Linked DNA regions of Arabidopsis thaliana. The protein of the gene in region 1 interacts with the protein of each later gene in a pairwise test. Each region holds a gene or a part of one and is shown on either strand. Other genes may lie near its edges.

What was found.
Region 2: the proteins of NAM (region 1) and HVA22D interact in a two-hybrid assay, tested with the Arabidopsis thaliana proteins (one large-scale study listed by BioGRID).
Region 3: the proteins of NAM (region 1) and FER1 interact in a two-hybrid assay, tested with the Arabidopsis thaliana proteins (one large-scale study listed by BioGRID).

What each region holds. Positions count from the first base shown.
Region 1 is NC_003070.9:19,688,208-19,692,425, reverse strand, and holds NAM (NAC (No Apical Meristem) domain transcriptional regulator superfamily protein), read left to right. Parts: upstream 1-1,836; 5' UTR 1,837-1,995; coding exon 1,996-2,185; intron 2,186-2,282; coding exon 2,283-2,587; intron 2,588-2,673; coding exon 2,674-3,141; 3' UTR 3,142-3,718; downstream 3,719-4,218. UniProt on the Arabidopsis thaliana protein: May encode a transcription factor involved in the elaboration of shoot apical meristems (SAM).
Region 2 is NC_003075.7:12,826,134-12,829,869, forward strand, and holds HVA22D (HVA22 homologue D), read left to right. Parts: upstream 1-1,722; 5' UTR 1,723-1,926; coding exon 1,927-1,973; intron 1,974-2,093; coding exon 2,094-2,120; exon of another isoform or gene 2,121-2,248; coding exon 2,249-2,555; intron 2,556-2,707; coding exon of another isoform or gene 2,708-2,727; intron 2,728-2,822; coding exon 2,823-2,849; coding exon of another isoform or gene 2,850-2,886; 3' UTR 2,887-3,170; downstream 3,171-3,736. Other genes in the region: AT4G24950 (uncharacterized protein), read left to right, coding at 149-622.
Region 3 is NC_003076.8:227,348-231,660, forward strand, and holds FER1 (ferretin 1), read right to left. Parts: upstream 2,705-4,313; 5' UTR 2,248-2,704; coding exon 1,940-2,247; exon of another isoform or gene 1,916-1,939; intron 1,851-1,915; coding exon 1,767-1,850; intron 1,655-1,766; coding exon 1,594-1,654; intron 1,494-1,593; coding exon 1,406-1,493; intron 1,305-1,405; coding exon 1,243-1,304; intron 1,148-1,242; coding exon 1,082-1,147; intron 989-1,081; coding exon 925-988; intron 837-924; coding exon 802-836; 3' UTR 606-801; downstream 1-605. Other genes in the region: AT5G01610 (hypothetical protein (Protein of unknown function, DUF538)), read left to right, coding at 3,728-3,814, 4,138-4,192, 4,277-4,313.

The DNA.
Region 1 (4,218 bases):
GTTCATAAGATCCGTTCATTGCCACCCTCAAATAATCCTTTCATTATCTCTTTATCTATTTGTATAGAAAATTAGTTTGTGAGAAAAACGCATCAGGTCTGATATATATATATAAACCAACGATTAAAGGTTTAAGAAATAATAAAAATTAGAGTGTGAAAATAATAAAATTTCGCATTACTCAAACAGTTGGTAATTCTTGCTTATATTGTTATGTAACTCATAACCAAAAATAGATATATTAAATAATATATTGTTATATATTAATTATCAAGATAATTAATTAATTTTTTGTTAATTGATGAATTTCTTTATAAAATTCCAATGGTCACAAAATACAAAGGGAATACAAAAGCGTGATATGACATTTGAAACGTAAAAAAGCTTTTTTGAATTTTCACTTTGTTGCCTTGTGTGGCACTTAAGCGGGTCCCATTTTACAGCTTGCCACGTGTCGACGTAATGTACTCAGAATAACACGGTACTATTGGAAGCATGCACCTTCAGTTATTTGTCCACACATGATAATCAAAAAAAAAAAGTGATACGTAGAAGTTTTTGCATTGGTAAAAAATATTTTAATTTATATTCTGTTTTCATTAAATTTTAAATTATTCTATTTTAAAGTATTTGTTTAACCGTTAAAAGGTAAAACTATATAGTATACCACTTAAGTTTAGGGATGATGAAAAAAACTACCACGTAAAACAATAATAAATCGGTTGGTTGAAACCTTGCAAGTTCCATGTAAATTTATTAAAGTATATATTATTTTAAAAATATTTTATAGATAAAAAAACTAAATTAATAGTGCCGTGCACTTTTCTTATATGATTTTTGTTATTATAATTTTTTTTAATTTTTTTATTATAACTTACTATAGAGACAAAAATATATATATGCTTATTGGATGAAAACAATCGCTATCGTTGTTAATGGTCGCTCGTGTCAAGCCACACTTTGAGCCTATATGAACACAGACGATAATGCATGGTTAAAGAGGTTAAGAAAGTCATTATCGACTCCGAAATCACTATTTTACCCTCCTTTGCCTTGGTTAGTATCGTAATTTAAAAAGATTCGACATGATTAGTCAGACTTTGTATATGTGTCGAATTGTCGCCACTCTTTATCTCCTTTTAGTACAAACCAAACCACACTAAACTCGGCTGAATTATGGGAGATTATGTATTATTATTGATTGCCAACAAATTCTAATATTCCGGGTCTAAAATAATAAAATATTATTTTTTGGGGTACAATTGTTAATTACAAACACTAATCTGAGATTAACAGTATTTTGTAGGTCAAACAAACTTTACAAAAAACAAATGGTTTTATCATCTTATGAATTGAAATCTACAGAAGATGAAAGATAAACTACGATTTAATTCTAGCTAAGTACATATAGATCAAATTAATTAGTGAAAAGGATCAACAAAGCAAATTAAATGTACTCTCTCATGATTCACGAAGATAAGATAGCATCATCTATTTTAATTTGAAATCAATGATAGAAATCTCTTTACCTACACCTTCCTACACATATGGGTCAAAACGTTTTTTTTTTGGTATGACATTTTATTCCTTTTTCCTGTTGCTAATCTACATATATAACTACATAGCGTACAGCTATACATATTAAATATATTAGATCTCTACAATAGGTTAAACTGTAACACAAACTATTGATTTAGATAGCTACGGTAATTAATACGTTTTGATCGTCCATATTCCACAAATATAAATAGAAATACCATTTGATGTGTAACAAAAAAATCTCATAGACATTTATGGTTTTAATACAAAAAAAATTCTCAAAAATTGTAAATAAATACGAGTGGATACGATGGTCTACGTACAAAAGATTCCAGAGGATAAAAGCCATTTTGATTTGTCGTTTTAATGCCTTCCATTTTTAAAAAGAAAGATTACTAACGCCGACTCTCTAAAACTCTCTCAAACCATAAAAAATATTCTCCGATCATCATTTTAATGGAGAGTACAGATTCTTCCGGTGGTCCTCCGCCGCCGCAACCAAACCTCCCTCCAGGATTCCGGTTTCATCCAACAGACGAAGAACTTGTAATTCATTACCTCAAACGCAAAGCAGATTCTGTTCCTTTACCAGTCGCGATCATCGCCGACGTTGATCTTTACAAATTTGATCCATGGGAACTTCCCGGTAAGTTGAAACAAGACCAAGATCATAATCCGATCAGATCTGTTTCATTTTTTTTTTTACTGATTTTTGTTTTTTTTTGTGTTCTTGATTGTGACAGCGAAAGCTTCGTTTGGAGAACAAGAATGGTATTTTTTCAGTCCAAGAGATCGGAAATATCCCAACGGAGCTAGACCTAACCGAGCTGCGACTTCCGGTTATTGGAAAGCGACTGGTACAGATAAACCGGTGATTTCAACCGGCGGTGGTGGTAGTAAAAAAGTGGGAGTTAAAAAGGCTCTAGTGTTTTACAGTGGTAAACCACCAAAAGGAGTTAAATCAGATTGGATTATGCATGAATATCGGTTAACTGATAATAAACCTACTCATATTTGTGACTTCGGCAACAAGAAAAACTCTCTCAGGGTATATTATTATAATATTCTTAAAATCTTGATTTTAAAAGAAAAGTTTTGATTGGCTAATTTTTGATTCTTTTTATTACTATGTAGCTTGATGATTGGGTGTTGTGTCGTATCTACAAGAAAAACAATAGTACAGCATCTAGACATCATCATCATCTTCATCATATTCATCTAGATAATGATCATCATCGTCATGATATGATGATTGATGATGATCGATTCCGTCATGTTCCTCCTGGTCTTCACTTCCCGGCGATTTTTTCTGACAATAATGATCCGACGGCTATATATGATGGTGGCGGCGGCGGATACGGAGGTGGAAGTTACTCGATGAATCATTGTTTCGCATCTGGATCAAAGCAGGAGCAGTTGTTTCCACCGGTGATGATGATGACTAGTCTAAATCAAGATTCCGGTATTGGATCGTCGTCGTCACCTAGCAAGAGATTTAACGGCGGCGGCGTTGGAGATTGTTCGACTTCTATGGCGGCGACGCCGTTAATGCAGAACCAAGGTGGGATTTACCAATTGCCTGGTTTGAATTGGTATTCTTGAAAACAATTTACGATGAAGAATTTTTAAAATTTGTGTATATATATACGGTTTGAGTGATTAGGGGGCATTGGGGGATTTATTTACGGTTGATTATTATTGTAGTGTTATAGAACTAAGGAGATTAAATTAAATAGATTGGAGGAGAGGTATAAGGTAACATATAGAAATTATACAACAATAGTTTAAATATTCTTTTCTTTTCTTTTTCATGTTATTATTTTTACTAATGTATAGGTGATGATTATACTTAGATGTTTGTAGCTTGTATAAATTAATGCATGCATATATATAAAAATATATTAACAGTTATAGAAACTAGATTACCCTTGTGCTTTTCTTCAGCTATTTATTTTCAGTACTATCAGCTTCAACATTCGCATGTTTTGCTGCAAATTTTATTTTTTAAAAACATGATTTTAAAGTGACATCAGAAATACTATTTGGTAGAAGACCCTAACTTATAAGAAACAGACGATAATGAAACTATCTGGCGGAGCTTTTATTTGACTTTGTCGAAAACATGTTCGGAACCAAATCTTGGCAATCAAAATAAGTGGAGATAAAAGATACGACAAAGGGCCTTCAAATCTGGTTTGAATCAATAGTTTTAAACTGAAAAGTTTTAATCTTTTTGTTAGATCAAACAAATGTTGCACTTGTTGTAAAAACAATGTTCAAAAAATAAATATGATGTTCATAATTAAATTCGAATCGAATACATGTAATGGACATCTTTAATCATTTTTTTTTTCTTTTCTTTTCATAATGATAAATACAAATTTGATGCTGAGTAGAATAATAAAAAACACAATATTACGTTTATATTAAACAAAAAAAGGCATACATATCCATCTCTTTATATTATATTTATACCATCCTTAACCAAATTTGATTTCCAAGAAAAGAGAAGCTATTCCCATGGCAAGTAATGAAGTTCAAGCTAATCAACTCGAAAGGCAGAATGCTACTGTCAGCGATGTGTTAGCCGATCCTCTATGCACATGTTGGTGAGTTCATAACACAATTTAATTACTAGTTTCCAAAATTTAGTGTCTCTCTAATATATATGTTCTTCTT
Region 2 (3,736 bases), on another chromosome or scaffold:
ACATTTGAATTGTTCAATTTCAAATTTCAAATATTATAATTCAATTCAAAGACTAGCTAAGTTTTTAAAAGTAATTAGTGAGAGATCTCACAGTGATATAAACCACATTCATTTTAATTCATAGCAAAGTAAATGGTAAGAAATGAAAATGGAAGAAAGAGAGGAGAGTAGTTCACACGAACATCTGAAGGAGAAGTTGAGAGAGCTTGAGGAGGAATGGACAGCCATGAAAACAGGTAAAAACTCATCTGCGGTTTCATGGATTACCGTGGAAGATGCTCTTGAGTATGTCGAAAACTCTCCCAGAAACCTAATGCTCTCTCTCCAACACAAACCAAAGGCAGAGATGATACAAGAAATATCGCCATTAAGGAGAAAACTCTTTCACGACTCTGATGATGATGATCAAACTAAGAAGACGACATTGCTTTCTCATTCATCTTGTTGGTCTTCGAATGTGACGAGTTCGAGTGATACCACGAAAGCAAAGAAGAAGACAACGATTAGAAGATTTGTTTCTGTTACAATGGTGCTGCTTTTGTCATGGGTTTTAGTTGTGTTGATGAACCACTTTGATCATCTCTCCATGAATACACAAATCATTACTTTGGTTCCTACTTGATATTTTTATTTATTTTGGTTTGAGAATGTTCATCAATCTCAATAAATAAAAAAAGTTTAGTTTTGTATTATTACCTCTCGCCTTCTCTTTTAATTCATTGAACCTCTTCAACTTTGGCTGTAACTATGTTGGTTAAAACAGTATAAGTAATGTATGTATTTATGGTTTTAGGAAAATCTTACAAAATAATACTCTATCATTGGATGAAGAAGCAAAAACTACACCCCTCTACATCTTTTCTATTCATAAACTTTTTTGGGGAAAGAACTACATTGGTGGTGATTAGGTGCATCGGTGACACTAATGTTGAAAATATGTTTTGTGTAAAATTAGTATGGTTAAAGCTAATCATTTAGTTGAGCAAAAAAAGATGCTAATCATTTAAATAGAAAATGGACTCAAACAAAAGAAGGCCACACATTCAATTGTTACATCTTTATTGGGTTTTCATTTTTGGAAGCTATTTTTATGAATTTGCAGTGTTTTGTTGCCCAAAAGAAAAAAAGCATAATTCCAAGTATATCTTTCATTTTGAATCCATCAGTCATATGTTTTACTTGAATCAACTATTTGTTGGGTTTTACGAAGTTACTTGTTAAGAAGATTCAAAATATATATAATTAGACTATCAAAGGAACAAAAGAATGTAATTGGGTCATAACTTTTTCCGAAGCTTACGTGACTTGGGAGAAAATCAAACCCATTAGTTTCACCCTTAATCAAACTAATCACAAATTTTGAACTTTGCAAAGAAGGTAAAATAATAATCAGCAAAAAGATTAATAAAATGACAAAAGTATCTCTTTAAAAGATTAATAAAGAAATAAAGAAATGACATAAGCTCTCACCGACCGACGTCTTGTCTTTTTTATTCTTAAGGTCGGTGCCATGTCGACGCCTTCAAGCTTAGAATCTCGCCACGTGTGGGATAAACTAACCGAACCCAATCGAACCAGACAGACCAAAGACAGACCAGACCGGACTAGTTGTATGTCGGCATCAGCGTTCTAGTACGACGTTAATTAAAAAAATAAAAATAAAATATTATTTATGATATTCCACCAATAAGAGCCAATGAAAAGTGTGTGAACCAACCAACTTCTGTAGCAAACCGTACCATTTCTCTCTTAGATACCTTTACCTTCCTTCTATAAATTAGGTTCTTCCTTTCACATTTCTTTGTCTTCTTCTTCTACATAAAATTGATTCGCCTCGAAATTTACACAGACTTGTCGCTCTCTCTTTCTCTCTTATTTCACAGAGCCCCTAAACATTTCCAAAAATCTTGCAAAGGAAGAAAAACAATGGACAAATTTTGGACTTTCCTCACTGCTCTTCATTCAGGCGCTGGGTAATTATTCTTAATCTTAATTTTCCTTCCATTATGTTTCCAAAATTAGTTACTTTTTGATTTCCTCTGTTTCGATTTCTAATCCAAACCGTAATCGATTTGTTGGTAATGTATATGCAGGCCTATCGTGATGTTACTTTATCCATTGTAAGTTTCTCTCTTGTTAAACCCTTTAACAAAAGAAAAAGTTTCTTTCTGGTTCGATCTCTCTACTTTTTGTTGAAGATTAAAAACAAAAATCTGTGAATATTTACTAATTATGTTTTTGATTACAGGTACGCATCGGTGATAGCAATGGAGAGCACAACAAAAGTGGACGATGAACAGTGGCTTGCGTATTGGATAATATATTCGTTCCTCTCACTCACGGAACTGATTCTGCAATCGCTTATTGAGTGGATTCCGATTTGGTATACGGTGAAACTTGTGTTCGTGGCTTGGCTAGTTCTTCCTCAGTTTCAAGGCGCAGCTTTTATCTACAACCGTGTTGTTAGAGAACAGTTCAAGAAACACGGCGTCCTCCGCTCCACCCACTCCAAGCCCACCAAGCCCAACATCCTCCACTCCATTTTCCCCCACCGGGTAAATTTTTTATCTTTTTGGTTTTGAGATTCATAAAGCAAAAAAAAAAAGTAAAAGTAACCATTAGTTTTAGTATTCTTTGGTGGGTCAAAGAACGAATCTTTGTTTATAAAGATTAATAATGCATTGAATATAGTCCTAGGAAACGTAAGAGTGTGCCTAATTCTCTAACGTAGCGACCATGAGCGTATAACAAGTGTTTTGTATACTTTTGTTAATTCTTTAATTCGTTTTTAAATTAATTGTGAATTTTAAAATGTGATATAGGAGGGACACGAGGCTCACAGTCACTGAATCAGAAGGGTGGAGCAGACAGAAGAAGCCTGACTAGTATTATTGTAATGGTCTTGGTGGTGGTCCCATCATGTCCCTGTCTAATCTACTTTTTACTTTATTTTTATTTATCACAAAAAATGGGTTTAGGAATGTTGATGATGATGACTGATGAGGTGTGTAATCGTTTTTAAATTAGAAAATGGCTTCTTCTGCTTGTATGATTGTATCGCTAATCTTCCACGCGTATTTCTTTAATGTCAACGCTAATAATTTCCAATTGTGTCCCTTCTTGAACTTATCATACATATTTTGATGACGCAAATATCTCACCGAATCAAACCCATAACAGTATATCCCTTTTTTTGGGGCCTAAAACCAAAATTGAAGTGAGGCTTACAGAGTTAGAACGCAATTTAAACCAGTGACTAATGTTTTGATTGGTTCTCCCTCTGCCACCTGCAAACGCTGCGTTTGCGGGTGGTAGCGGTTGTTAGCGTTTGACACTAATCATAGAAACCGCTAGATACCGTTTTGGACCGCTTGAAATCGCCAGATTTCAAAAGCTTCTTCCCGTAAGCGTTTGCGGTTGCGGGCGGTAGCGGTTAGGTTAATTTTTTTTTTTAATTAATTAAAATAATTATATCTTCCATCCAAACCCTATATATTTTATTCTTATCAGAAAACCCTAATCAATATATTGAAACCCTATTTTCTCAATTATGGCATCTACCCAAACTAACGAAAATCAAAATCAAAATCAAAAATCAAACGTAAGTATGATCTATCCTTTCATCCATTCATTAGCTAGTGTAATTCTCTGAGTATTTCATGGCATCGTCATTTTTTTTATTTTGTATTTTTTTGAGTTTTTTTATTGAATATATGTTTTGATTTGTTTTCTCGAT
Region 3 (4,313 bases), on another chromosome or scaffold:
CATTCGGGATTATTTGACATTTCCTTGCTTTTGATCAGAGCATTACTACTGTGATAAGTGTTCTTGTTAGGGTCATACAAGTATCCAATCTTGATTGTTCCCGTGCGAGGGACTTCTTCGTCATTATACAAATAAGATTCTCAATCTTTACTTAATGCTTAGTGGTTTGAAGAACCATGATGAAAAGATAAATCACTAAGGGAGAATCTGTACATGAAAAGCTTAATGGTGTTTTCATACGTCATGAACTTCTTATGGATACTCATTTTCGTACATTTGTCAGCTCTTTGTAGAACAGACAGGTCTTTGTTTGGTTAGAAATGATTTTCTACTGTTCAACATGGAATCAAAGTAAGAGCATCTCTTTTGCTTTGATGTGACAGTGATCTTGTTCTTGTTTGCTGTTCAGTTATATCCCAGTGACCAGCTTGTCCTTCTCGGTGGAAAGTGACATACGCTTCATGCTTCTTTTACATGTTCTTCATAAACAGGTTCGTTATGCTTACTCTTTCAAGTTGGATCATAAATATTCTATGTTTAATTAGATAGGTCTGAGTTTTCACTATTTTCTTAGTTACGCATTGTTTGGCCGTAGGTTTATAGCTAGTTAGAATATACTAAAACAAAAACTTCATTGATTAAGCTTACGAAGTTATTACAAAAACCATCTTGAACACAAAGCTTACTACTACAATCTTATTAGTCCATAATGTTCAATCTAAAGCTTTTACAGAATCTTCGGGTTCTTCTGTTTTAACCCCAACATTGGTCATCTGAAAGTGAACTTATAGAGGTCCAAGTCTAGTTCAGAAGCATCTGGTCGAAATGCCAAACTCCTGCAAAGACAGAACAAATGTAAATAAGCTTTTAGAAATACCATTCAAGTCTGAGAACACTATCTCAATATAGGGTTTTGATTCGTACCGTGGCCTTTGCCGATCATCCTTAGCTGGGTGATGTAGTCTGAGATCTTCTTGATTGCTTCAATCTAGAAATAGTCCATAATATATTCTGAGTCAGAACATGTACAGATTATACAAGTCACTAGTTGTAATCCGAACAAAGGCAAAAGAACTTTTACCTGCTCTCCCAGAAATTCACTCTCAACGAAATCAGCTAACTGGGGATCATTGTTCTCTGAGGCCACCTGTTTTGTTGGCCAAAAGTACGTGTTAGTTAGTATTAGGAAAATGACTATAAGTTTAATCTTTGATGATCAAATGGATAAGTTAGGGAACTTACTTTGTGAACGTTTAGAAGCTTCTCATTAGTGAGTTTCTCTAGAGACAGAGCCAACTCCATTGCTGAAAACAAAGATTAGTAAACTAATAAATATCTGTATCTTTAAAAAAAAAGAAAAGTTGTTATTTTAGGATTAAGATAGTGTATTTGCTTAAAGTTTTACCATATAAAGCATCTCCTTTTTCAGCATGTTCGAATTCTGAGATAGGTGAGACGATAGGGTGGAGTTTCACTCTTCCTCCTCTTTGGTTCTGTATAGAGACAACAAACCAACAATATGAATATTAACTAAGTGAATCACAAGTCTTTATCAACTTTTCTAAAACAGAAAAGAAGGTAAAAATAGAAAACCTGGTACTCCATAAACTTCTCAGCATGCCCTCTCTCTTCCTCACTTGATTCCTTGAAAAATCTGGTGATTATAAAAACTCATGTTTAGTATGGACATATATATCTCATTTTGAAGTATACGATCAAGATTATTATAAATAAGATTAAGATTAGAGTTAGAAGGTAATAATTACTTGGCTAGTCCCTTCATAGCAACGTTGTCTCTGTCAAAGTATGCGTACATTGAATGGTACACATAGGAGACGTTGTATTCCACACTGTAAATAGAAAGCAACCTCCTCCGTTAGATCTAATCTTTAAACATTTTCGTTTCTTTAATTAGACAGAAAAGAAAAGAGAAGCTTACTTGATTTGCTCATTAATGACTGCCTCGCTAGCGTCGGCAAACCTCTGGCGAGCGAGAGAGGCATGAGATGTGATTGGAATGGCCAGATCGGCTTTCTTCACCTCTTCGAAAGGCTGGAACACGACTCCGGTCATCGGCATGTTGTTTGTGTCCACCGTAGCCGCTGCAACGACCACTGCTCTGCCGCCGCCAACTTTCCTGGAGAAGCCGAGAGAAACCGACGGAGAAGCAGAGCCGTGAGGGAGTAGTGGCTTAGGAGACAGAGCGGGATTAGCGGCGGTGAAAGACGAGAGTGCGTTTGAGGCCATCGTTGGAAAATGTAGAAGAGGATAGTGTTGAGCCGCCTGAGATTTGTTGTAAGAGATGGTGATGATGATAAGAAAGAGGAAGGAGGAAGGGTTTATATAAGAGGGAAAAGGCGTGTGGTCACCGTTGGATTGAGATCCACGTGGAGGGTGGATATGAAAGCCAGATGTAGGGGCGTGTGGCGGCCTCGTGCTACATCCAATGGGATAGTGTGAACGTGAGGATATTCGATCCACGTTAACATCTCTCCAAATAAAGTTTGTCTGTTTCTCTGCTTTCTCTTTTATCCTCAGAATCTTTTTACCATTTCCGGTTCCTACTCTCGCGTTGCCACTTTCTTATTTCCTACTCGCTCTCTCCTATTTTTCGAAATGTATTTTTTAGAGTTGTAGATGATAACAAATACAATTGTTTACTATAAAAAAAAAAAAAGAAAAGATGATAGCGTTTCCAACATAAGTTAGACGTGTAAAATCCTGTGACACATATTGACATAGGAAATCGGATAGAGATAAAAGTATTTCCATATTGTTTTTATAAAAAATCATCAAGCTACTAGAACATAAGATTGAGAATGGTCCAAACCCTTTAAGACTTTCCGTATTATGTGGCCTAATATTCATAATTTACAACAAAGAAGGAAAAATTCGTGGCTCTCTAGGATATTTGATGGAGACGGAAAACTGATATACAATTATACATAGGATAGAGTCGCGAGTAGCTCAACTCCACGTAATTTCCAGCTAAAGCGCGTGAGAGGTTCCAAATGGTTCCTTGTCTTTATCGGAGACAATTACACGTCGGAGTAAGTACATTGTGGGCCTCATTAGTAATGTCACGGCCCAAGTTAAAAAATCATATCAAATGGTTTTTCTAAAAAGTTGTAATGTTGGCAAGGACAAAAATTAAGCATTAAATAAAGTGTAGTTAGGCTTGGTTTTATTTTATTGGCTTGATTTGAATCGATTCGTATTACTCTGGAATGCACAAAGACAAGGGTAGGCTATAAAAGTGTTAAAGAGCTTAATAATATTTTCGACTGTAATTACAAATTTAGCTGAGGTTCGTCTAATAGACAAGTAAAATCATGGGAGGAATGGCAAAAAAAAAGGATTGATTGTAGTCTTTAATTTTACTCTGTTTTGTGCCATGTGGTTCTTCAGTTCCCAAGTTGTGTTGCACCTATTTAATCTGATTTTCATTGAAGGCCCAATAGATAGATAGTCAGTCCCAAGGAGGAGTGATAGGCAAGTACTTTTTTTTGTAATTTGTACAGTATAATGCTGCCTGCTTGCTTCAATAAATATATTGGTGTTTATGTATTTGCCACATGTCATAAGTTAATTGGCTGCAGGAATAGTGCACAAATAACGAATCCAACGGTGCGAGAGTGGTGGGTTCCCAAAATTCTTTCCCGGAAGAAAAAGAAAGAAAGTCGTCCTTCGTTTTCTCAAAATCTTCTCTATCCTTTCTCGAGAGAATATGGATCAGATCTTCAACAAGGTTGGATCCTACTGGTTAGGCCAAAAGGCTAACAAGCAGTTTGACTCCGTCGGCAACGATCTCAACGTACGTCTTTTTTTGACCCATCCTATAGAATCTGATTCATCTGTTTTCCTAATCGATTTTGATCTATTGACGTGGTTCCGATATAATCAACCACCTTTATCGTAATTTTGGTATCATGCAGTTGTACGAATGTTTTGAGTTCATTGTTAGGTAAATCACGTCACATAAGGAAGAACATCTAATTACCAAAACCATGATATCTTAAGAAATGATTCAAATATATGATCCTATAATGTCTTCTCTTCTTGCTCATGTGGTTAGATTATTTTGTTTGAAACTGTGATCTTTTCTAACATATAAAACAATGTTTTTGTTTATGCCAGTCGGTGTCAACGAGCATTGAAGGAGGAACAAAATGGTTGGTCAACAAAATCAAAGGTTTGCTTTTTTTTATTCTTCTTCTGACTGCATCTTTCAATTTTTTGTTTTTTTGAAATTCCCCATTTGTCATCATGTTGACAGGGAAAATGCAGAAGCCGTTGCCTGAGTTACTAAAAGA